Canis lupus familiaris: one gene and its partner. The main gene of each other region encodes a partner of the protein of the gene in region 2 in a complex. Links are inferred from orthologs where the notes say so. Each region holds a gene or a part of one and is shown on either strand. Other genes may lie near its edges. The genes, in order: GABARAPL2 and IRGQ.

Region 1 (11,380 bases), on a different chromosome or scaffold from region 2:
CCGGCCTAGAACTGAGCACTGAGCAGGCACCTAATCCCCGCAGAACCTTCCCATGGCCCTCGACCAAGGTCAGGTCCTGAAGGCTGTGGGCTCCAGCCTGACTCACGAATTGGCTGGACCGACAGGCACACCTGGTCACCCATCTGCTTCAGAGCCCACATGCTTCCCCTGGACCTGGATTTCTCTCTTGCCCAGCAGGGCTGTGGGCGGGGGCCACTGCGTGGACCCTGGAAAGGCAACCACCTCAGAGTGAAAGTCAACTTAACCATGAAGGCTCTCGATGTTCTAAAAAATAAAAATTAACTACTGGCTATCCCTTTTGTCGGACTTTTTTCTCTGATATAAATAAAACCCTATTGCATTACTGCTGGAATAAACCCTTGGAGAGGTATTTACCTAGAAATGATCAAAAGTGTTTAAGCACAATTCTAAATAAAGGATAAAGGGACTATAAGATCTCACAACTTCCTTTTACTTAGTTTCTCTTCAAGATCAAAGGAGCAACTAAGCACCACAATCTTAAAAAACGTTTCCAAGTGTAACATTCCCAAATTATCACACGTTAGAGATACTTTAAAAATATATTACTGCTTCTATTTTAAGCAGGGATTAACAAGATTCTTCTGTGTTCTAAACAAAGATCAAAAGGTAGGTACCACGGCCAGGTCTGGGTTCCCTGCTACTGCCATGACTGGAAGTCTGTACACTGGTATTTTTTTCTTGAGTTCTGTCTGCACCAAGGGACAATTCTTTTGTTTTTGGCCTGATTCTGGATGCAGGATCCTAGGCTGAGAATTCAACTTTCCAATGCTAAATGGGAAAGGGGAGTTGAGATCCTACCCCCTCTGCCCTGCTTTAAAAACAAAAACAGAACTCAGAATTTAGGAAGTAAAACTCCGGGACTTGCCTTGGTCTCTATTTCTAGAATCAGTATTTAATACTCACTAGTCTAAACAATAACCACATTTTACATGATCGCTTGTGTTCCAGAATACTCCGAAAGTCCCACTGCAAGGCAAGAATAACTGAAGTTACTTCAGCTCCACCTCCCACCTCTCAAGTGATCCTCACGCAAATCTGTCATAGGATGGGAGAAGCCTCCTTAGGCCTGGACTCATCCGTTCCAACTCTGATTTCCCCAGCCACTTTCTGAAGGCTGCAAGCACTGGTGGAAGGTTGAGGCCCCGCACTTCCTAAGGAGGCTGGAAGGAGCTGAGGAAGAGGCTGCTGTTAACGTGCCTTGGGGAGGAGATGGCAGGACTGAGTCACACATTAGCTTTAGCAGGAGACCCTGTGGCAGTTCCGTGTGTGCTGCTGTCAAGTGATCAGTATTTGCATAAGGCCCAGTGATGTCATATACCACTTTTGTTTAGAAACAAATTTTCTTAAAAAAACCAAATCGCTGTATTAAGTGTGGGGACAGAAAGTCATTAACTGGGGCCAAAGGCCCGGGCAGAGGAAGCCTGGTTAGCGATTCTCTAAAATCCTGACAGGGGTCACTGGTGTCATCTGCTTTAGGGCAGATTCTTACCAGGCTGGAAAGGCAAATGGGACTGGGAGAGAAAAGGAAGCAGCCTCTGCTGCCCTGAGAATTACTTTTGATTTCCAATTCTATTTATATCTCAGGGATAATGGAGGGAGGGGGCAGTTGCTAATCTGCAGCCATTTTAATTGCTAGATTAACATGAGGCCATCAGAGTAACAGTGTCTCCAGAAGCCTGCACATCTCCTTTAAGAAACATCAAAAGTGGGATGCCTAGGTGGCTCAGTGGTTGAGCGTCTGCCTTCGGCTGAGGCCATGATCCCAGAGTTCCGGGATGGAGTCCCACATCGGGCTCCCTGCGAGGAGCCTGCTCCTCCCTCTGCCTATGTCTCCGCCTTCTCTGTGTCTCTCATAAATAAATCAATAAAATCTTAAAAAAAAAAAAAAAAAAGGAAAAGGAAAAGAAAAATCAGAAGAATTGATCAAATAAATTCAAAGCCACAGGTCTTAGACACCTGCTTCCTTCCCTAAGAAGCCACTGCCAGGAAGGAGGAAACACAGAGTTACCCAGACTCTGCAGAAGCTGCAGGAGATGGAGTTAGCAGGAGACCCTGTGGCAGTTCTGTGTGTGCTGCTGTCAAGTGATCAGCAGTGTGATGACTGAAGATTCACCTCTCCACCACCTTAAGAGAAGCTGAGTTACGACTACAGATGCCCAGGGCTTCCTAACCTGATGAACCCAGCACCATGCTGCCTGGAGGTCGGGGAAGGAAGGCTGGAAGAGCCCCACCAGGTGTCAAGACCGCCTCTGCCAACACCACAGCTTCCTGAACAACAGCTATAGGAGACCAACAGCACCTAGCAGGCAGGCCAGGCGGATCTCCTCAGGCTGGACACTGACCTTACTGAAGAACCTTTCATTTTTCCCCAACCTCTCTGCCAAACACAGGAAATGGAGGTGGTGGAGATTAGGAAAGTAAATCAGATAAAAAAATAGCCAGAGCTATCTGTCATAGGAAAGGGACTAGATTTTGGCTTAGGTCTTTTCTGGAGCTTTCAAGGATTTTCAAAGGGAACATATTTTGGCCAAACTGGGATAGTTCCAGGGATTCTGAAAGCCTAAGCTTGCAGAAGTACTACCTTTAGGGGAGTAACCAATGAGACTTACTTGGAGTCTCCAAGATGAGATGTAGCCAGGAACTCACACTCGGGGGAGAGGGACTAGCATCTGGCTCAAGGGCTAATACTCAACCAGTAATGGCAAAGGACTGACCAGGAATTTTGAAGGAGCCAGTCCATTTTCTTTTTTCCACCAGGGACTAAAGCTGGGCTGTCAACTACACAGAAGAAGAGAATTATAATGCCCCAGAAGACTCGGGCCCCAAGTTATGCCAAAGAATGCTTCTAGGCAGCACAACAGCTAGAGCAAGGGGGGCGGTTACTCTGACAGTCGGAGCAGGTGCTACGAGGGGGGGTGTAAGTCTGTAAAGAGACCTCAGAGCCTTTTGCTGGACAGCAGCCATTCCAGCATACCTGAGGATCAGACAGCTACACACTCGCAGTGGCACAGAACTAAGTTTGGAGAGCAAGCAGGAGGATGATTAACTGAAGCTGAGCCTCAGCAGGGCCCACAAGCCCCTAGTGGAGAACGACAGGACTTATTTCATGGGTCATTTAAAGAAAACCTAATTTTAGGCTCATTTAGGTTCTAGTGATGGCTTAAGCCTAAGTAAATCCTGAACTGTTTTAAAGTATTCATCAGGGTCTGAGGCTAGATTTTTTTTTTTTTTTAAGTCCAACCTTGTTCTATTTTCTTAACCCAAAGTATATTCCCAGATACTGTAGCCCTTTCTTATTTTCCTTGAGCTCCTCATGTCAGGGAGCACAACATCCAGATTTCCAGTCAGGACCTCTAAGAGTTTTCTCACCTCCAAAGTTTAGAGTTCTGTAAGCAGCCAAGCAGGTGGCCAATGCTAGTAAACACTTCTCACCTGGACTGTGGGACTGTCTTATCCACAAACAGGAAGATTGCCTTTTCAGAAGGAAGCTGGATCCTTTTCCTGATGATCCACATGAACTGAGCCACAGTGATGTCAGATGGAACCAAATACTTCCGTTTGTCAATGTCGACAATCTGAGAGCCTGAGACTTTTTCCACAATCACCTGGGAAAGCAAAGAGAGATCAGGACTGGGTTTCTAAAGTGAGGCTCTGGCCTTGCATTGCCAGGGAGCTGATGAATACTATGTGGGCAAGGAGGTGGGTGGGAAACTGCACAACACTGGAAAATATGCCCCTGATTTAATAAACCACAAACTCTTAACTCTGGAGGTTAAGAACTGACATAAATGTATGATATGGAAACAGAAAGTGCTTTTCTGTGGTCAATTATGTTTATCATCCTGCATCTCAGCGAGCATAAGAGAAACACACGCCCTTACTACAAAGCTCTTCGACATTTTGTCTGGGCAGACCTGAGATACCTGGTTTCATCTACAGCCAGTTACTCCAAGACTCCAGAATGAATCTGCCTTCACACTACAGAGGAAGTAAGATCCCAAGGAACAAAGGGGAGAGGAATGGATGGACTAATGGGAATGAGTAAACCAAGCTCCTCATTTGGCCTGTTGCTTCTCCCTGAACTAGGTTTCAAATGTGTCCCTCCTAACCCCTCCTCAGAGTTTTGCTTGTTCAAACAAAGAGCTACAATAACAGACACGGATGTCCTCTAAAAATCAGTAAGAATTATAGAAACTTTACCCCTACCACGGAAGAAACAGGATCTTTATTACTGATTAAGGAGGAACCACGAAAGAAGGGAGTTCTCAGAGGCTTCTCAGATTTTTTTTGGTCAGCAAAGGATGACAGGGTCAGAGTGAGGAAAGGGAGCTAGAAATCAAGTAAAGACAGAGGCTCAAAGTTAAAGATGAGTGTCCTGAGACTAAAGTACCACTTCTAAGACCAAAGTGACAGTCTCCCTCCACCAGTGTTCCCAAAAGTGGCAGTGACCTGTTGCCCTGTCCTAGAACATCGTTCCTTACATAATTGGCGAGGGAGCCCAGAGGCTGCAGACAGCTCGCTGGCCTAGATCGGGAGATTCAGCACTGAGGCACCCTGAACAGCACCTGCTCAAGCCCCTCACGCCACGGCCCCCAAGGCCCCGAGCCCCGTCTGGCTTGTCTGCTCCTATAACTGGGACTGGAACCTCAACTTATCAACTGCTGAGTGGCCCGGGGCCCTATCGCGAGTCCTAGACGACGGGGTGACGACGAGGTGAGGGGGCGGGGAGTGCACTCACCGGAACGCGGTCGGGGTATTTCGCTCGGATCTTCGCGGATTCCACGCATCTGTGTTCTGTGGGAAACAGACGGGGCTGCCGGTCGCGCCTGCTCGTCCGCCGCTTCCCGCGCCCCCGACCCACCTCCCCCAGCGACCTGCGCACGCCCGGGTCCTTGTTACGGCGTCTCGGCGGCCTCGGTCCTCGGCCCCCGCCTCCCGGCAGGAGGGCAGAAGGCGGCACAGCGTCCGTGGGCAGCCGGCGGGGGCGCCGGGGCCTCCGCGACCCGAGGCCACAGCTCGGCATCCGCCCCGCCCGGCCCAGCCCAGGGCGGCCCGAGTGGGGGAGGGGGCCCACCCGCCGCCGCGACCCCCACCACCCGGCCTCTGACGGAGCCTTACCCAGCGAGTGGTCCTCCTTGAACATCCACTTCATGGCGACGGCGGGGAAGGGATGCAGCCGGCTCTCGGAGCCGCGGAGCTCAGCGAACCAACCACAACAACAACGACGGCAGCAGCGGCGGCGGCGACTACACGGCAGGCGGGACTTCCGGCTGCCGGAGCCTAGCAACCGGCCGGGGGCGGGGCTTCCGGCGCAGTTCGCCGGGACGCCGCGCCAGGGGGCGTGGCCACATTCAAAGGGGCGGGGCGAGCGGCGAGGCGGGGCGGGGCGAGGCGAGGCTACGAGGAAGTGGGGCTGATGACGTTGGCCACCCGGCAGTCCTGGAGGGGTTTCGGTGACGGGGAAGGGGATGCTGTCGGGAACTGCTAACAGGAACCGGGTCTCGGCGGACGTTGGTAACGGGAAGAGGAGTTTGGGGGTCTGGCTGATAGGATAGGGCGCTCAGAGGGCTTTTCATGAGGGAAGTCTCGGTGTCGGGAATTTTGGAGCATGAGTGACAGACGAGGGGTCTCTGATGGTCGATAATGGCGGGGTGGGGGAGATCTGTTTAGCGCATTGACAGTTTGGGGAGTATTGTTTGGAGTGGTAACAGGTTGGAGGGTGTGGCTAATTTGAGGGGCCTGTGTGGGGAGAGGTTCTGATGACAAGCCGGGGGTTCAGTATTGGAGACAGCCAAAACAGGTGGCCTTGGACCTAGAAATGGAATTTAAACAAAACCCTATTTCCTTCCTTTTTTCATGAATAAATAAACGTTTGACTAAACATGTAAGCACATGTATCACAAATAGACATTTGAGGAGCATAACATCTCACTGATCACAAAGAGACCCCTTAACCTTAACTACAGAGGACTTAGAGGTGACTGTCTGGCTGAGAGAATTCCCCTGAGAGTCATGAGACAAATTTCTTTGGCAGTCAGCATGGAGTTCAGCAATCACAGTCTAGGCTGTGCGTACGTGTGTCACCTGCCTGAGCATATGCCTTGAGTTCTCCAGTGATGTCACCTCTTTCTTCCTAGCAGAGTCATCAGGACAGTCTGCTCTGGGTCAACATCTGTTTACTAGCTGGTGAATATGTAACAAGAATATTCATTTAATTGGGCACATGATCCTTGTCATGTGCTTATGATTCTGATGCATCTGAAAGGATTGCATGTGTGAATATTGTCGTTCACCATTTCCCATAGTTGTAATTCCTGATGGATGCTGTGGAATCTAGCTTCATTCTAGAAGCATTTTGGTTATTTTAAGATTGTCTGAGCAACCAAAATAGGCTTTTGTTTGCTTGCTTGTTTTTAATGAAGTGAAAAGCCCTTTGAATTTCATACCTAGAAATTATTACTGCTGCATACAGGAGCACTGTTCTAGGTGTTGAGGAAAAGCAGTGAACAGAACATTCAGCTGTCAAGGAGTTTCTAGTGGGATAAGACAACAAATGTCAGGTAATGGTAGGCGCTGTTTAGAAAATAAAGCAGGGTTGGTGACGAGTGACAGTGGGGTAATGCTAATCAGGTAAAGTGGTTGGCATAATCAGGGACAGGAAGGAACCCCTTGTGGCTGGAGCTGAATTAGCAAGGGGGGGTATGTTAGAAGATGAGATCAAAGATATGTGTAACAAAGCTGTTGAGTTTTTTTTTTTTTTAAGATTATTTATTTATTCATGAGAGACAGAGAGAGAGAGAGGCAGAAACACAGGCAGAGGGAGTCGCAGGCTCCACACAGGGAGCCCGACGTGGGACTCGATCCCAGGTCTCCAGGATCAGGCCCTGGGCTGAAGGCAGTATTAAACCGCTGAGCCACCCGGGCTGCCCAGCTGTTGAGTTTTGAATTTCATGTGAAGAACTTTGGATGTTATTTAGAATGAAATGAGAAGTAGAGGATTTTAAGCAGAGGTGTGACATGGTATGGCTTTCCTTTTGAACTGAGCAGGCTAGCTTTTTTGTAGACAGACTCTAAGGGTTTGAGAATGGAAGTCAGGAAAACAATTAGGAAGCTATTGTGATAATCCAAGTGGAAGATGATGTTGGCCTAGACCAAGATAATGTCTGTGGGGATGGTGGGAAGCAATTATATTCTAGATATATTTTGAAGGTAGAGCCAACCAACAAAATTTGATGATAGATTGAATATGAAGTGTGAGGGACAAGTCAAAGTCAGAGTTTTTAGAAGGATGGAATTGCCATTTACTGAAATAGAGTGGAGCCAGTTGGGGAGGTGGGGATCAAGGTTTGGTTTTGGCTCTATTGAGTCTGAGATGCCCAAGGGACACATCCAAATGAAGATATATGGAGTAAGTGAATAGATCTATGAGTCTCAAATTCAAGAGAGAAGTATTTAAAGCTATTGAACTGATGAGATCAGCTAGAGAGTGAATGAAAAAACTGAAAATACCTATTTTGCAAATAGAATTAAACACTGAGGAATCAAAGTGGAAAGATCCCATAAGTCACCCCTTACAGGAGTGTAACCTGATGGTCTTCGTAAGGTGCAGTGTTTTTCTGTCTTCTATCTTTACTTACTTCTTTGATGTCTTTTTCCAGTTCACCATTCTAATTGGATTCTCTGATCTGCCCTGATGATATGCATCACCTTCTTTACCTATGGGGTCATTATACTAGCTTATTGAATGTTCTAAAGATACCGAATGCCTTCCTTGAGGGGGTGGCTAGTTGAAAAGATGACTCAGAAGAAAAAATAGGATAATTAAAGTATGCAGTTATATATTAACAGACTTATAAAATATGCAGAATAAATTTCAGATGTTGGAGAGGTCCTGCACTTGAATGCTGAAGGATGGTTAGGGCAATGGGGGCTGACACCAAACCAAGCGAGGCTTATCAAAAAAGACTAAACAGAGAATGTGAATCTTATGTGTCAGAGAGAAGTGTACATTTTTCAAAGGACAAACTTCGCTTAATAGACACAAAGACTGGGGTTAGAAGAGGGAACTGGGAAGCAATATAGACAAATGCTGGAAAGCCTTGATGTGAACATTCAGGCGTTCTGAACTGATTCGAGATACCCTGAATGGGAGCTTTTAGAAAGGAGTAGAACGTGATCAAAATGTGTAGTTTTAAGAGAACAACTCTCTTTGTCCTTAAAAGTAAATTCTATGAAGGTGCACCTAAGAGGCTCAGTAGGTATAGTGTCTGACTCTCGGTTCCGGCTCAGGTCATGAGCTCAGCATCCTGGGGTCAGGCTCCGCACTTAGCAGGGGAGTCTGCTTATTTCCCCCTCTCTGCCTCTCCCCGCCACTCACGTGCTCTCCTTCTCTCTAAAATAAATAAATCTTTTTTAAAAAGTAAATTTTATGAAACATGAAAAAATTATGGAAATGGAAACAGAGAAGTCAGTTCTCAGTTATGAATATATGACAATGACACAATATACACAGACCTTTAGCATTTTTAAAAACTAAAATTCCAAAAAAAAATAAAAAATAAAAATAAAAATAAAATTCCCTCTTAAAGAATCAAAATAAGACCACAAAGATTAGCTTCTTCAAATAATGGAAGCAAAGAGTAAGTATTAGTATCCATTATTATTAAATACTTTTGCAAAGCTCATGGCATCTCAGGGGAGGCACTTCACACACCTAAATTCTTAGGAATCACCACCTTGTTCTCAGCAGTGACTAAGCTGACACTAGCCACAGTATGTGTTTCCTTCTACTGAAAGAAGGAACTTTGAAGGCAAATGCCTCTTTCCTTGGTGTAGAGCTGCACTCAGGAGGTAACACTAGAACCATCGATTCCAGAATCTTATTTTAATGGTTATTCTTAAATTTTTAGTTCAGTGTAGTTAACATACAGTGGTGTATTAGTTTCAGGCATACAACATAGTGATCCAACAATTCCATATATTACTCAGGGCTCATCAAGATAAGCGCTCTCTTATATAAGTGTTTGGTGTCAGCCCCCCATTGCCCTTCACCTATTTCACCGATCCTCCCATCTACCTGCCTTCTGGTAACCATCGGTTTGTTCTATATAATAATATAGTCTGTTTTCTGGTTTGTCTCTTTTTTTCCCTTTGTTCATTTGTTTTCTGAAGTCCCACATATGAATTAAATTATATGGTTTTGTTACTTGAATAAATGAAAGTCATTCACTTAAATCATTGATACAGTATAACGTCAGAATCATAATATAGATTTAAGCCTAACAATTGCTATATTTAAGAGCTGTGTTGCCACCCTAGGGAAGCTTTAAAGCAAAGATGAGTAGTACTGAACCAGATCTGTCAAAATCTTATGGCTGGGGCAGCCCTGGTGGCCCAGTGGTTTAGCGCTGCCTTCAGCCCTGGGCATGATCCTGGAGACCCGGGATCGAGTCCCACGTCGGCCTTCCGGCATGGAGCCTGCTTCTCCCTCTGCCTGTGTCTCTGCCTCTGTTTCTCAAATAAATAAATAAAATCTTTAATTAAAAAAAAATCTTATGGCTCATATTGTCGATTGAACCGCGGTGAGGACCCTGGATAGTTTTTCCGAAGGATCAGCTCTTGGCCCCCTCAAGCATCTATGTAGTTAGGATCTCAGCTGCATTATCTAAAAGCTATTTCTAGGTTGCCTTCAAAATAGAGGCATGGCCTGCTGGATTCCGCTCTGACCACAAACCTCACACTACCTTTTGGCGCTGCATTGTGATCCTTTTAGGGCCTCCTGAAGAACTTGGCTGTTGACCAGGGTACAAAAAAAAAAAAAAAAAAAATTCCTTCTGCCATGTTCAAAATACTGGTTAGAGGTGAAAGCATTCAATTAAGTGATAAGCCACTATCATCTTTGGGGGGGGGGGTGGCACAGCTTCCCCTAAAACCGGTGGCCAAGCTTGTCCCCAGGATAAGCTAAGGAAATTCAGCAGAGAGAGCCACGTAGTAATTACCCTTTACCCCTGGAAGAGCTGGGAGAGTTGTGTCCCGTGTCTGCGCCATCCTGCTGTGGAGTAGAGAGAAAGCAACAAAGTTCGGAGCCGCAGGGAGCCGGCCTGGCCTTCCAGCGCCACGTCCAGGAGCACAGCCACGTTCCTCTTTTGCGTTTTCCTGCGACGGAAGGTGTGCTGTGACTGGCCGGATTCAGGTGTGAACCACAGTGCGGATTAACGGAGGACACGCGAGCCGGTAACGACTTTAAGCCCACTTTTCTGAAAAACCTTCTTTCCCACAATCGTTACCACCGGAAACGGCTACGATTCTGGGCCCTGAACACGCCGCGCGCCCACTTGGCCTTTGGAAAACTGCGCGGCACGCGTCGAGCGAGGACGAACGCCCGCCGGCCGGCGCCGTCCCCGCTTAGCCCCACCCCCGCCGGGGCCCCGCGTCCTTGCTATTGGTTCCCGTCCCTGCGCCGTCGGTTGCCGTGGAGACCGAGCTATGGCAACCAGGAGAAGCCAAACTTGGTCCTCCCTCGCGAACCGCGCAGGGCTCCCCGGCGAGCGGCCGGAATCCGCGAGGCGGTCATGGCGCTCTACGAGCTCTTCTCCCACCCGGTGGAGCGCGGCTACCGCGCGGGGCTCTGCTCCAAGGCCGCGCTGTTCCTGCTGCTGGCCGCCGCGCTCACGTACATCCCGCCCCTGCTGGTGGCCTTCCGGAGCCACGGTGAGCTGCTCGCGGCCGCTGCGCGCACAGCTCCCCGCGGCCGGCTGCGCCCGCGCCCGCCTTCCTGACCTGCTGTCCACCGCCCTCTCCACCGCAGGGTTGTGGCTGAAGCGGAGCAGTTACGAGGAGCAGCCGACCGTGCGCTTCCAGCACCAGGTGCTGTTCGTGGCCTTACTGGGACCCGAGCGAGGCGGGTTCCTCGCCTGGAGCACCTTCCCCGCCTTCAACCGGCTGCAGGGGGGTCACCTGCGCGTCCCGCTGGTTTCGGTGCGTGGTTCCCGCCCGGGGCCTAGAGGGCCCCCGGGACTGGGCGGGGGGGGACGGGGGAGCGGGGAGAGGGCGACCAGCTCCGGCCGTGGGAAGCCCAGCGTGGGTGTTAGGGGTCCCTGAACCCACGGAGGTTGTGTACAGAGACGCGTGGGCTTGGGCGTGGATTTCATTCCCGGGAAGTGACTCTCTTGTTTCACTCGACTTCCCCAAGCCGTCCACAGCCCCCAAGAATGTTAGCCCCTGCTGTCACCATGTGTCCCACAGAAGCCTGGGGATAGCCTGTCTCTGGCCCTCTTCATTTCCGTGGGCCTGGCCTGATGAATGCGTGGTCGCGAAACTTTCTTCAGGAGTCACGAAG
Region 2 (11,380 bases):
TGTTAGGCCAGACCAAATCAGAGATGGTGTGAAAGTGGCAGAAAAAGACAAGGGCACTCTGTGAGCAAAGGCATGGGCATGAGACAGAGGTGCCCAGACTAGAGTTGTCTGGGTACTGCCTGGGGCCAAGGGCAAAGGCAACAAGACTTATGTTCGAGCTCCTCATATGCGAGGCTTCTCTGGAGGGCTGCAGCATGCTGACATGTGCGTGTGTAGGAGAGAGAGAGAGAGAGAGAGAGAGGCAGGGGGGAGAATGCATGTACATACACTATTCCTACAATTACCCTGTGAGGTAGATACCATTTGCTGAGTGACTTCCCCAAGGTTGCCCCAATGTCAGGAGGACTGTCTGACCCTAGAGCTATGTCTGTAGAATTTCCTGTGATGATGGGAGTATTCTAGGTCTGTGCTGTCTAGTACTGTGGCCACACATCACATGTGGCTACTGAGCACTTAAAACATGGTTTGGGTGACTGAGAAAATGGTGTTTATTCATTTTTACTTAAAAACTGATATGCACCTCAGTTATTGGGAAACTGTTCAATATAACCGGGACAACTTGGGTGTATGAATCTCTTTCTCTATTAATGAACTTTAGGAAAGCTAAACAGGAGTACTTCTGATGAGAATTTATCATCTGAATGAGACATGTGCTAAGTGCAAAATACACACCCGATTTCAAAGACAGCATGAAGGAATGGAAAATATCTCATTCTTTTCTATATTGATTACATGTTGAAATAATGTTTTGGGTGTACTGGGTTGAGTAAAACATAACTAGTTTTCACTGTTTTCTTTTACATTTTTACTGTGGCTGCTAGGACATTTCAAATTACAGATGTGGCTCACAACCCGTTTCTGTTGGACAGCACGGCTGTGTACCTCTCCCACTTTCCCATGGCTGGCATTCCAGATTGAGAGGTAGACAGTGTTGTACTGGATATTACAGAGATGGGCAAATACCTTTCCCCGAAGCCTCAAAGGCCTTTGAAGACCATGTCTGAAGCCATTCAGTATAAAGCCAAATGCTTTTTTCCACCCTCAGCCATCTCAACTATGATGGGATAAATTGTGCCAATGGTAGGGGTTCGAGATGGACATGGGAATACCATCTGGCAAAGGACCTGTCTCTCAGATCGGTCACCCTTGTCTCCTGCTGTCAAAGAAAATAGGATCTTGCAAGTATATACGGTTCTCGTCCGGCCCTTTCATTTCTCAGATGGAACATAAGGCACTGGTCCAAGTCACCCAGAGTGACAGTGGCAAAGCCGTGCTTGCTTCCCAGATCCCGTGACCTCAGACAGGAGCTTTCTCTCCCATCAGATGCTTGTTTCTCCCCACCTTGCTCATTTTCCCTGTCTTGTGGCAAGAGGCCGACAATCTAAATTCCAGTCTGCCACTGACTAATGAATGAAAAGAAATAATTACTAAGCACCTACTGTGGGTCAAGCACTCTTCTAGGTGTTAGGGGTAGAGCAGAGAACAAAACAGGTAAAAGGACAATAGCTATTAAATAGGTAAATAAATAAATAAGGTAATTGCCTACAGTAAAAATTGCTGCAAGGGAAATAACTGGCTGAGAAGAGTAATGGGGGCGTGTGAGCTGATTCAGTTACACTGGACAGGGATGGCTTCTCTGAGGGGACGTTTGAGTGGAGATCTGCTTGATAAGAAGGAACCAGTTATGGGAAGATCCGGGGGTAGAGCATTCTAGGCAGAAAGAACAACAAATGCAAAGATCCTGGGGTAGGATCCAAGGTGGCCCACCCAGGCATCGGAAGATCAGGCTGGTTAGGGGATGAGGTTGGGGCCAGACCACATAGGACCCTGCTGTGTGTTGTTGGGCCTAGAGCCTGCCCTCCCTGGGCTTTGCCCTCCCCATCTCTCATAAAAGAGATGCTACTTAATGGCCTTTTGGGTCCCCCTTTCCTGCTTTTTGATACAAGAACTCTGTAACCTGTGGCATCTTTTCTACCTATAGTTGGCAGCCTAGAACATTCCAGGCACTGTGGTTTCTGCCTTTGCTTCACTTACGGCACACTCCCACCGTCTGGAACACTACCTCGCTGTTCTGTGGGTCTCTTGCTCTCCGCAGCCCTGTGTGTACACCAGAGGGCAGAGCCTCTTGGGGACACCTGAGGTAGCCAACACAGAAATATCTGTCAGTGCAGCATTATAGCTGCTTTTCCAAAAAAGGCAGGAGTATAAAATATCAAGGCCAGAAAGGGTTCGGCTTAATGATAGAAGAAATCAAGACCAAAAAGAGATAGAAACCACTAAGGGAAAGAGGGACAAAGGAACAGACACACCAAAGATCCCTTGAATCACTCAGCACTTATAAAAGGGGGGCGGGTAGTCATGTCCCTTTCCAAACTCGCACTGAGAGAGGTGATTGCCAGGGTCCAAATCCATAAGGAATTTGTGGGAGATACCTCTGAGGTATGGGTTCCTGTCCTTCACACCAGAAGGCCTCATTCCTGGTCTCTGGCTACCCCCAGGGCCCACCATGCCCAGACCTCTTGCCTACTTCCCTCGTTTTTCTGGGACCATCCTCCCCACAACAGCTGGGAAAAGAATCTGGCTCACCAGGCCCTCCCCCCCCCACCCCCCAGCAGCAAATAACAGACATCTCTCTATTCCTGATCAAAGGTTCTGCAGCTCTTTTGCACAGTCCCCTGTTCCCTCCTGTAGATGGAGACTTCCCACCACCCAGCAACTGGAATCTTAAAGTCCACCCCAATGAATTCAAAGCCCTCATTCCCTTCAAGCACCCAGCATTCTGAGTGGTGGCCCCCAGCTCCGCTACCTCAGAGGCCCAGACATCCCATGCATCTGGACCCCCCCAATCCCTATCCCTCTAACCAGGACGTGGAGTCCTCAGCCCCTGGGGGAGCCAAGCAGGAGGGACACTGGGCACCCCGGCAGCCCCCCAGACCCGCGTCCCACCCCTCACTGCGCGGGCACATGGGGTGCCAGCACCGCCTCGGCATCGGCCTGCATCTCGCTGAGGGCCTGCAGCAGGACGCCGTGCGCCGCGCGGTAACCCAGGCCGCCGGTGGCCGCCGCGCCGCCCGCGGGCCAGAGGAAGGAAAGGGCCCCCAGCGCCGCGCCCCCCGCAGTGCCCTCGCCCGCCCACGCGCCCAGCCTGGCCTCCACCTCGGCGCGCGTCACCGGGCCCGGGAAGTGCGTCCGCTCCGCCAGCTCCCCCGGGGTCAGGCCGAGCGCGCGCTCGCGTCGAGCCAGCGCGGCGGGTTCGAGCCCCAGCGCCCGCCGCCACTCGGCCAGCTGACCCCGCAGAAGCGCCACGTCGCACGCCCAGCCTAGGCCGGGTACGGGCGCCGCCGCCGCCGCCAGGCTGGCCAGCAGAGCCGGCCGCCACGCCCCGGCCCGCAGCGCCGCCGCCTTCATGCGCGCCCCGTGGGGAGACGCGGGGGGCAGCGCCAGCAGCAGCGCCCCCGCCTGGGCCGGGGGCAGCGCGCGCCGCAGCCACTCGCAGAGCCCCGGGAGGCCGCCAGGCCGCAGCGGGAACACGGGTGGCGGCGCCTCCTCCAGCACCTCCCACGTCTCATCCTCGGGGCTCAGCGCGGCCGCACGCTCCGCGTCCCCACTGCCTGATTTCTTCCCGCCACCGCCAACAGGCGGCACACTCTCGCTGCCCGCTTTCTCCGAGCCTTCCCCGCTGCCTGCTTTCTCGGAATCTTCCTCGCTACCTTTCTGCAATCCCGGGCCACGTTTCTCCCTTCCCTCACTGCGTGCATTCTTCACCCCCTCTCCGCCTGTGTTCTCTAAGCTCTCGCAGCTGGGCTTCTCTTTCTCCGCCTCGTCCTCTTCCTCCAGGTACTCTGGATCTTCGCCCTCACCGTCTGTTCGCACGCCGACCAGCGGCGCATCTGGCAGCACGAAGGGCCGAACCTGAGCCCAGTCCTTCTCAGTGGGGGCCCCCGGGGTGACTAGGATGAGGGCGTCGTAGTGGGTCGGATGGGGGGTGGCGGCAGCAGTGCCCGCGGAGCCCAGAGGTACGTGCCAGAGCACCACATTGGGACGCTCTGGGGCCGGGTGGGGCGTGGGCCCCGCGGGCATGAAAACAGGCTCGGCATCAGGGTCACCGGGATCCAGCCCAAGCAGCACGTTCAGCACAAGGCTCACATCGGCGTTGCCGGCCACGGCCAGGTCCAGCCGCGCGCTGCCCAGTCGCTCCAGGCCAGCGCGAACCCACGACAGCGCCGCCTCCAGGCCACCGGTCTCAAAAGCCTCCCGCACGGCCTCCAGCTCTGCCGCACCCAGTACCTCGAAGCCATCCTGTGCCGGGGGCAGGAGCCTAAGGGGACAGGGAAAGGGAGGGTCAAGAGCAGAAGAGGGTTTAAACGCGGGAGAGCTGCATTATGGGGATGGGACCAGACTAGGATGATATGGGTGGAGTTTTTGAATAACCTCTGAAAGAAGACAGAGGAGCCAGACTCATCATAAAATATATAGGAATTAGGGCTTAAAGCAGGGGGAAGGGGACGCCTGGGTGGCTCAGTGGTTGAGCGTCTGCCTTCAGCTCAGGGCGTGATCCCAGGATGGAGTCCAACATCAGGGCTCCCTGCATGGAGCCTGCTTCTCCCTCGGCTTGTGTCTCTGCCTCTCTGTGTATCTCTCATGAATAAATAAATAAAATCTTTTTAAAAAACAAAAAAATAAAATGGGGGCAGGGGGGCAGGTTGGTTGAGGTCAGGTTTCTGACAAAACCTAAAAAGGGAAACCTGCTAAATCTTCTCTGAGATTCAGTCTTTGGGGGAGGGGGCACTTTCCCAAGGGCCTTGCAGGGTTAAGAAAGGCCAAGCAAAACTCCTGGAAGATGGGGCTCCCGCAAAGACTGACTTGCAACTGTATTGTGGGCTAAAGGAAAGGCAAGCACCTTTGGACCGGAGCAAGGTCACCCAGGGCGCTCTTTGCAGAGACTAGGTTTACTGAGGCGAAGAAGGGCCAGTGAGGGGAAAAGCCTCGCTTATTAGTGCTTACCAAGGAGTGGCTAAGGAAAAAAGATGTGCACTGACCCAGTGGGCCTCATTTGGACTTCTATAAAACAGGTGGCCAGGGATGGGGGGGGGGAGGATTTAGGAGGTAGCCAGCGAGTGGGCATAGAAATGAGATGGGATTGGGATTAAAGAAAGGCAGAGGGGGAGGAAATCCAGAAAGGGCAAGGCTCACTGAGGGTGTGGCTTTACAAGGACTAGTGTAGCTTGAGAACAAAGCTGAAGGTGGAGCAAAGCTGAAGGTGGAGAGGACGAGGAGGGCTCGAAAGTGTGAATCCCTGGGTAACATCTTGGCGGGGATCGCAGGCTTGTGTGCTGAGTAAGCCTTCCTCCAAACTTTTGCCATGGGGGAAGTATTTGGGCATTAGGTCCTCGCCTCTCCTAAAATGCTCAGTGAAGCAGGGCTTGGGACCTGAGAATGCTTGCGGGGGGCAGAACCTGGGAGGACGGGTCAGAACCTCGAGCTGACCTTTTGGTGGGGCGGAGCCTAGAAGACAAGAAAGGCTCCAGCATTGAGTGCTGGCTTGGAGTGGAGCCTCGCTGACCTCAAAACCTGCGCTGAGGGGCAGGACCAGGGCCAGAGAGCAGGGCCCCCAGCAGCTATCCTGTTAAGGCCTGCCCCAAACTCACTGGGGGTGGGGTCTCGCGATCTCAAAGAACATTTTCTGGATGTGAAATGTAAAGCACTAGGCCTCAAGTCCTCGCTCACCTCTGCAGCACCTCCGCCTGGCTCCGCAGCGCCACCCGCAGGCGCTCCAATTCCTTGCAGCCGTCTCGGCGGCCGCAGTCCGCGGGCAGCACGAAGAGAGCAGCGGCCCCCAACCCCGCGCCGTTCAGCAGGGCCGCGGTCTGATCCCGGGCCTGGGCTTCATCTTGTGACTCCCCAGGGCGGAGATTCCGCACAGCCAGCAGCGGGGTCCCTCGGGCCAGGGCGGCCCGCGCTGCCTCTCCCAGCGCTGGGGCCAGGGGCTCCCCGTTCCCCTCGGGGCCGGGCAGCACCAATACCAGCACGTTGGCCTCCGCCGCCCAGGGCCCTGGCGCTGCGGGCGGACAGCTCAGCTCGCCCAGGAAGAGGCCAGGGCCCAATGCTCGCAGGCTGGGGATCCCGGAGTCCGGTCGGCCCTCGGGAATCTCTATGGTCTCCACATTCCCGTCGCACAGCGCTGCGATCAGCGCGGACTTGCCACAGCCCGGAGGCCCCAGGAACAAGGCGGTCACGTCACCCCGTGGCGGTGGCATACCTGGAAGGCAAGGGGGTGGTGCAGACCCGGGTCAGGGAGCACTCGACCTTTTTCTTTCCTGGTCTGCTCACTCTGTCCCCCCTCCATTCTTGCGTGTCACTCCCAGGGAAACATCCGGCACCCACGCCCTGTCTATTCCCCAAGGACCCGGGTGGCTTGTCCGCCCTCTTTCTGGATACATTTAAAAATATATATTTTATTGATTTTAGAGAGAGAGAGAGAGCACAGCCGGGGGGGAGGGGCGGAGGGAGAAGCCCACTCCTCGCTGAGCGGGAGCCTGATGCGGGGCTCCACCCCAGGACCCCGGGGATCATCACCTGAGAGAAGACAGACGCTCAACCGGCTGAGCCGCCCAGGCGCCCCACTCTCTCGGTTTCAAAATCTTAGACATCCGGACCTCCAGGCCCCTCCTCCCTCAGGGACATGGATGTTTTTATTCCCGCACTCCTCCCTTCCAAACCACTAACCGAGCAAAGCGCTGGCAGTCACCGGAGAGCGCGATCCGCGGCGGCGGGTCAGCCGCTGAGAAGCCCCGCCCTTGGGGTCGGGCGGACGGAGGCCGAAGAGGTTAGGGCGCCCCGATTTGGGGCGGAGGGGCGGAGGGGGGGCCGTCCAGACCCGTTCCGAGGGCTCTAACCTGACGTCACTCTTTTAAGGAGGGGGTGTGTCTTGGAAGCGTGACCTCGGGGCTACAGCCCTTGGCGGCGGCTGCGCAGAGCAATCGAAGCGCGCCGGCTCCCCCCTGCTGCTGCCGCGGGGCCCCGAACAATGAGGGAGTCAGAGCGCCTGCGCGCCAGCAGCGCCCGGCCACATTTGCGCAAGAAGCGGAGGTCGGTCCGGCACGGGCGGCCGCGACGTCATCATAACGCATCCCGCTGCGGGGAAGGACCCCTCCCGTTTCTCTGAGGACCCGGCTGGCGCGACTGCATCACTGCCGGATAGTAGCCGGGCTTTCGGCGTCGAGAGGCTCCTCCGGCGAAAGGGCGTGGGAGCCCCTGGGACCTTGAGCCTCGGGGGCCCTACCCCGCTTCCCTCCGGGTGGCGGCGCTGTGACGAGGCGGCCGACTGGCGCCACGAGAGCTGCCCGCTGCTGTCCGGAGAAAAGCCGAGGCCTGGGGCTACCCGGCCTCGGGAGGAGGGAACCGAGGCTGAAGGCGCGCGTGGGAGGCGGGGGCCCGGGGTGGAACGAGGGTCACAGGATGTCAGAGAAAGATGCCTCCCGGGAGGAGGCGGGTTAGACCCGGGGCGCCACTACCTGCCTCAAGACACGTGGGAGAGCTGGTGTCAAGAGATCAAGGGTTCCATGCCCGCACTTCAGGGAGTTAGATGTGGGAGGCCAGAGGTCTCACGCAGGTCAGACGGCTCCACGGGGTATCACAGGCCTGGGGAGTCGGATCTTTTGAGAGGGTCGAAGCTTCCCTGAGGAGAGCTCCACCAGGTTAGAGTTCAAGAGGATGGCCTCTTACGGGGTGGGGTGGGGTGGGGTGGGGGTGGGCGGGAAGCAAGGGGAGCCTGCCGGAGGTCATAGGATTGCGGGCCCCTTCATGCAATGGATACATGAGCGACTTCACTTGATTTACTGTCCTGTCATGCGCGCTGCTCTCTTGACCAGAGGGATCCCAGGCGTTATGGAGGACCCGCATCTCGAAGGGGCCACGGAGCAGCAGGATCCGTCCCAGGAGAGGAGTCCCCGCAGCCCAGGAGGCGACATCTGTGAGTGCTGCTGGCCAGACGGGTGGGGTGCTGGAGCCGATGCTAGCTAGCTAAAAGGATTTCAGTGTCCCAGGCATGTAACAAGCACTCGCCTGCTGCAAAGGGGCTGTAATAAATGGTTTATAAGCTGCCCTACCAGGAACTGCCATTCTCTACCCTTACCTTTATTGTGCTCAGATGTACCCATCCCGCTCTGGCCACGTAAGTTCGAATGTGCTGCAGTTTGGACGGACAGAGTGGCACCCAGAGAGGCTTGGGTGGGAGAAAATGTTGGACACTGAGAGAGGAGACCCGAGGTTCCAGTGCCAACTCTGCCCCAGACTTTGGGTGTGTGACTTGGGCTCGGGTTTCCCTGTCAAAAGAGGTTGCCACTACTCAGGTGACACGGCTGTAAAGGGGATTAGTGGCAGAGATGGGGAAGGTTTGATATCGGGGAGTCTGCTGTTAGCAGAGGTAGCCAGTTTGACATAGGATAGCAACAGCTTCTACTGAATGCTTACTAGGTGTTGGGCGCTTTCTAAGAGTTTAACCTTCATTATCTCAGTCCTCCTGACAGACCCAATGGAATTGGCATTGCTTTCAGATAAGGGAACTGAGGCAAAGAGGTTATCTGGGACAATGAGCTCCAGTGTCAAGGTCCTCCGGCCAAAGACCACCAGGAACACACCTGCATTTGAACAAGTTGGGTTTATCGCTCATTGCACTGAGGAAGCACACACACCCTGAAGCACTGTGGGGCATCTCAGTGTTAGAAAGGACTTATCTTAGGTGATTTGGGAGAAGGTTCAAGGAAGGGTTTTGTTCCAATTAAATGCTGCCAGTAAGTAGGGGCAAAAGATAGGTTGGCTGTGTAAATAAATCTTATCCAGGAGGGGGGGTACAAAGGCTCAAGCTGTGATTGATAAAGCAGCAGCAGCCCCTCCTGTGAGCCAGGATAGGGGGATGTTTGGTCATTTTTGTGGCTTGGACAATGTTCATGTTTTGTCTGTGTTCAGACGTTACTCTGGCATGGTCTTGATGTGATTCATCTCAGTCACAGCATGGCTTTGTCTGACAAGGTTCTGTGAAACTGCTTCTGTTCAACAGGAGAACACCAAGGCCTAGCTGTGAGTGCCAGGCCAGCCCCTGTCAAGCTGCTTTTCTCTTTCTCAATACGAGTAACCACAAACCACTGTGTAGCACTGTTCTAAGCACTTTATATGAAGTAATAACCCATTTACTCCCTCCAACAACCCCATGAGGTAGTTGTAACTGTACTGATCAGTCAACCATACTGATATGGTTATGACCCCATTTTCCAGATGAGGAAACCGTTGTACTTGCCTAGGAAGTGGCAGATCTGGGATTCAGTGCCAAGTAGTCTGGCTCCAGAGGCTGTGCTCTAATCACATGGCTCTGCTGGGAGAGCACACTCCCTGGGTTCCATTCCTGACTCCACCATTTCATTTCCTAGCAAGTTGCCTAACCTTTCAGAGCCTCAGTCTGCTCATCCATAAAACGTCCTGTAATAGTTTGCCTGTGCCACTGTCCAGCCCTGACGTACAGCTGGCATATAGTAAGCACTGAATGTAAATTGTTGGCAAGACCCTGGGGCTTGGGAGAGGTCCTGGTGACTCTTGCTGGCTTCCCCCGACCTCTCCCCACGTCCCTCAGGCCACCTGGGGGCCCCGCAGTGCACCCGCTGCCTCATCACCTTCGCCGATTCCAAGTTCCAGGAGCGTCACATGAAGCGGGAGCACCCAGCTGATTTCGTGGCCCAGAAGCTGCAGGGGGCCCTCTTCATCTGCTTCACCTGCGCCCGCTCCTTCCCCTCCTCCAAGGCCCTGCTCGCCCATCAGCGCAGCCACGGTCCAGCAGCCAGGCCCTCCACGCCAGTTGCACCCACCGCTGCCCACCCTACATTCCCCTGCCCTGACTGTGGCAAGACCTTTGGGCAGGCTGCTTCTCTGAGGCGGCACCGCCAGGCGCATGAGACCCGTGTCCCTCCAGGCCCCTTTGCCTGCACTGAGTGTGGTCAGGACTTTGCCCAGGAAGCTGGGCTGCATCAACACTACATCCGGCATGCCCGGGGGGAACTCTGAGTGAGGGTTACACCCTCCCTAGGGCAATGGGTGTGTGTGTGGGGGGGATGGGTTCTGTGGCTGCTAGAACCCACCTCTGATAAGGGATGGGCGCCTTGGAAGGATGTGCTTCCCTCCCTGGACAGGCAAAGGACTCCTGATAAATAGGACCCAGAAGATGCTCATCTCCAGATTCAGTCTTTGGAGGACACAAAGGCCTTCAGGGATATAGCGAAATTAGTGAAATCTTTTAAGAGAAATGAACAAGCAAAAGGGAAAATTGTTATTTGTATCTCCCTTGTTTCCAATTAAATAGTTTGAAATCACAACTAGCTGCAGATTGTGTAATCACCTTTAATTCTTCCCAGATGGATGCCATGAGCTGTAGGAGCAAATTCCCCCTGGTTTTGTGCCTGAAGGGGGACAGGGAGGGTGAGGTGTGGCGGGGCTGTAATGTCCCTGGAAGGGTCTCAGATGTGGGGAAACTTGGGCCTTTGGGGTGCGGTAGCAAAGTTGGGGGCTGTCTGAGTCATGTGGGGGTTGCAATTCAAGTCCCTGTCTTCTCCCATTCCCTGTCACAGTCTTTCCCACTCACTGAGGGGCCTTGGTATTTGGATTTGGGCTCCTTCCCCAGTAATCTATTGCCCGCTTAATTTCATGTACCATTCTAGTCATGGAATATTTTCTAGATGTTTAGGTGAGATGACATGAATAAAATAGCAAATAGTATCTAAAAACAGAAAAGATCTGTATTAAAATGTCTAAACCAGAAACTCTGGCTTTTGAGCAGGAATTGCCAGAAAATATAAGAAGGGCATAGTGAGGGGGCTCAGTTGGTTAAATGTGGGACTCTTGATTCTGGTTCAGGTCATGACCTCAGGGTCATGAGATCCAGCCTGGTTTCGGGCTCTGCTGAGCAGGGAGCCTGCTTGATTCTCAATACCCACACCCCCGCCCCCTTTCATCCCCCACACGCATGTGCACACGCACGCTTTCGCAAAATAAATAAAAAGAAGGGCACTGGGAGGGGGGAGCTCAGGTCAGAGCTGGCCTGGCCCTGTGGGGAATCTGGTTTGAAATCAAACAGGGATACCTTCTGTTTCCTGTTGTATTTGGCCAACACTGGGAGAGTTCCCATTAAGATCCTATTTTCAGCTCTTGAAACCCCTAACCCTGGGCTGGGTCCCACCAGGCCAGTACTGAGTGTGGTCAGGACTCTGGATTACCTGCCCTGCCCCCCTTAGAGACCCCGGTTGATGCCCTGCATACAATAATTACAGACACTATCTGAACTGAGGGATGTTTTTAAAGCCCATAGCTGAGGTAAATTTGGTAGAGGATAGCTGTT

What was found.
Region 1: the proteins of IRGQ (region 2) and GABARAPL2 are in contact, whole or in part, in a crystal structure (PDB 8Q6Q), measured with the Homo sapiens proteins. The link is inferred for Canis lupus familiaris from reciprocal best matches to the Homo sapiens genes IRGQ and GABARAPL2. Residues at the interface, in NP_001007562.1 of Homo sapiens: Asp7, Thr9, Leu11, Pro47, Leu49, Phe57, Pro70, Trp71, Glu74, Pro181, Ala182, Gln183, Asp184, Gly185, Phe186, Glu187, Val188, Leu189; in NP_009216.1 of Homo sapiens: Ser10, Glu12, His13, Cys15, Val16, Glu17, Ala19, Lys20, Ile21, Ala23, Lys24, Tyr25, Arg28, Pro30, Lys46, Lys48, Tyr49, Leu50, Val51, Pro52, Phe60, Ile63, Arg67, Phe104.

Annotation. Positions count from the first base shown.
Region 1 is NC_049226.1:75,812,062-75,823,441, forward strand, and holds the start of GABARAPL2 (gamma-aminobutyric acid receptor-associated protein-like 2), read right to left. Parts: upstream 5,810-11,380; 5' UTR 5,195-5,809; coding exon 5,161-5,194; intron 4,837-5,160; coding exon 4,781-4,836; intron 3,648-4,780; coding exon 3,475-3,647; intron 316-3,474; exon of another isoform or gene 1-315. Other genes in the region: TMEM231 (transmembrane protein 231), read left to right, coding at 10,614-10,752, 10,850-11,019. UniProt on the Homo sapiens protein: Ubiquitin-like modifier involved in intra-Golgi traffic. Modulates intra-Golgi transport through coupling between NSF activity and SNAREs activation. It first stimulates the ATPase activity of NSF which in turn stimulates the association with GOSR1.
Region 2 is NC_049222.1:112,244,944-112,256,323, reverse strand, and holds the start of IRGQ (immunity-related GTPase family Q protein), read right to left. Parts: upstream 7,314-11,380; 5' UTR 6,727-7,313; intron 6,717-6,726; exon of another isoform or gene 6,577-6,716; intron 6,260-6,576; 5' UTR 6,258-6,259; coding exon 5,728-6,257; intron 4,319-5,727; coding exon 2,950-4,318; 3' UTR 1-2,949. Other genes in the region: ZNF576 (zinc finger protein 576), read left to right, coding at 7,888-7,972, 9,426-9,527, 9,626-10,053. UniProt on the Homo sapiens protein: Autophagy receptor that specifically promotes clearance of misfolded MHC class I molecules by targeting them to the lysosome for degradation.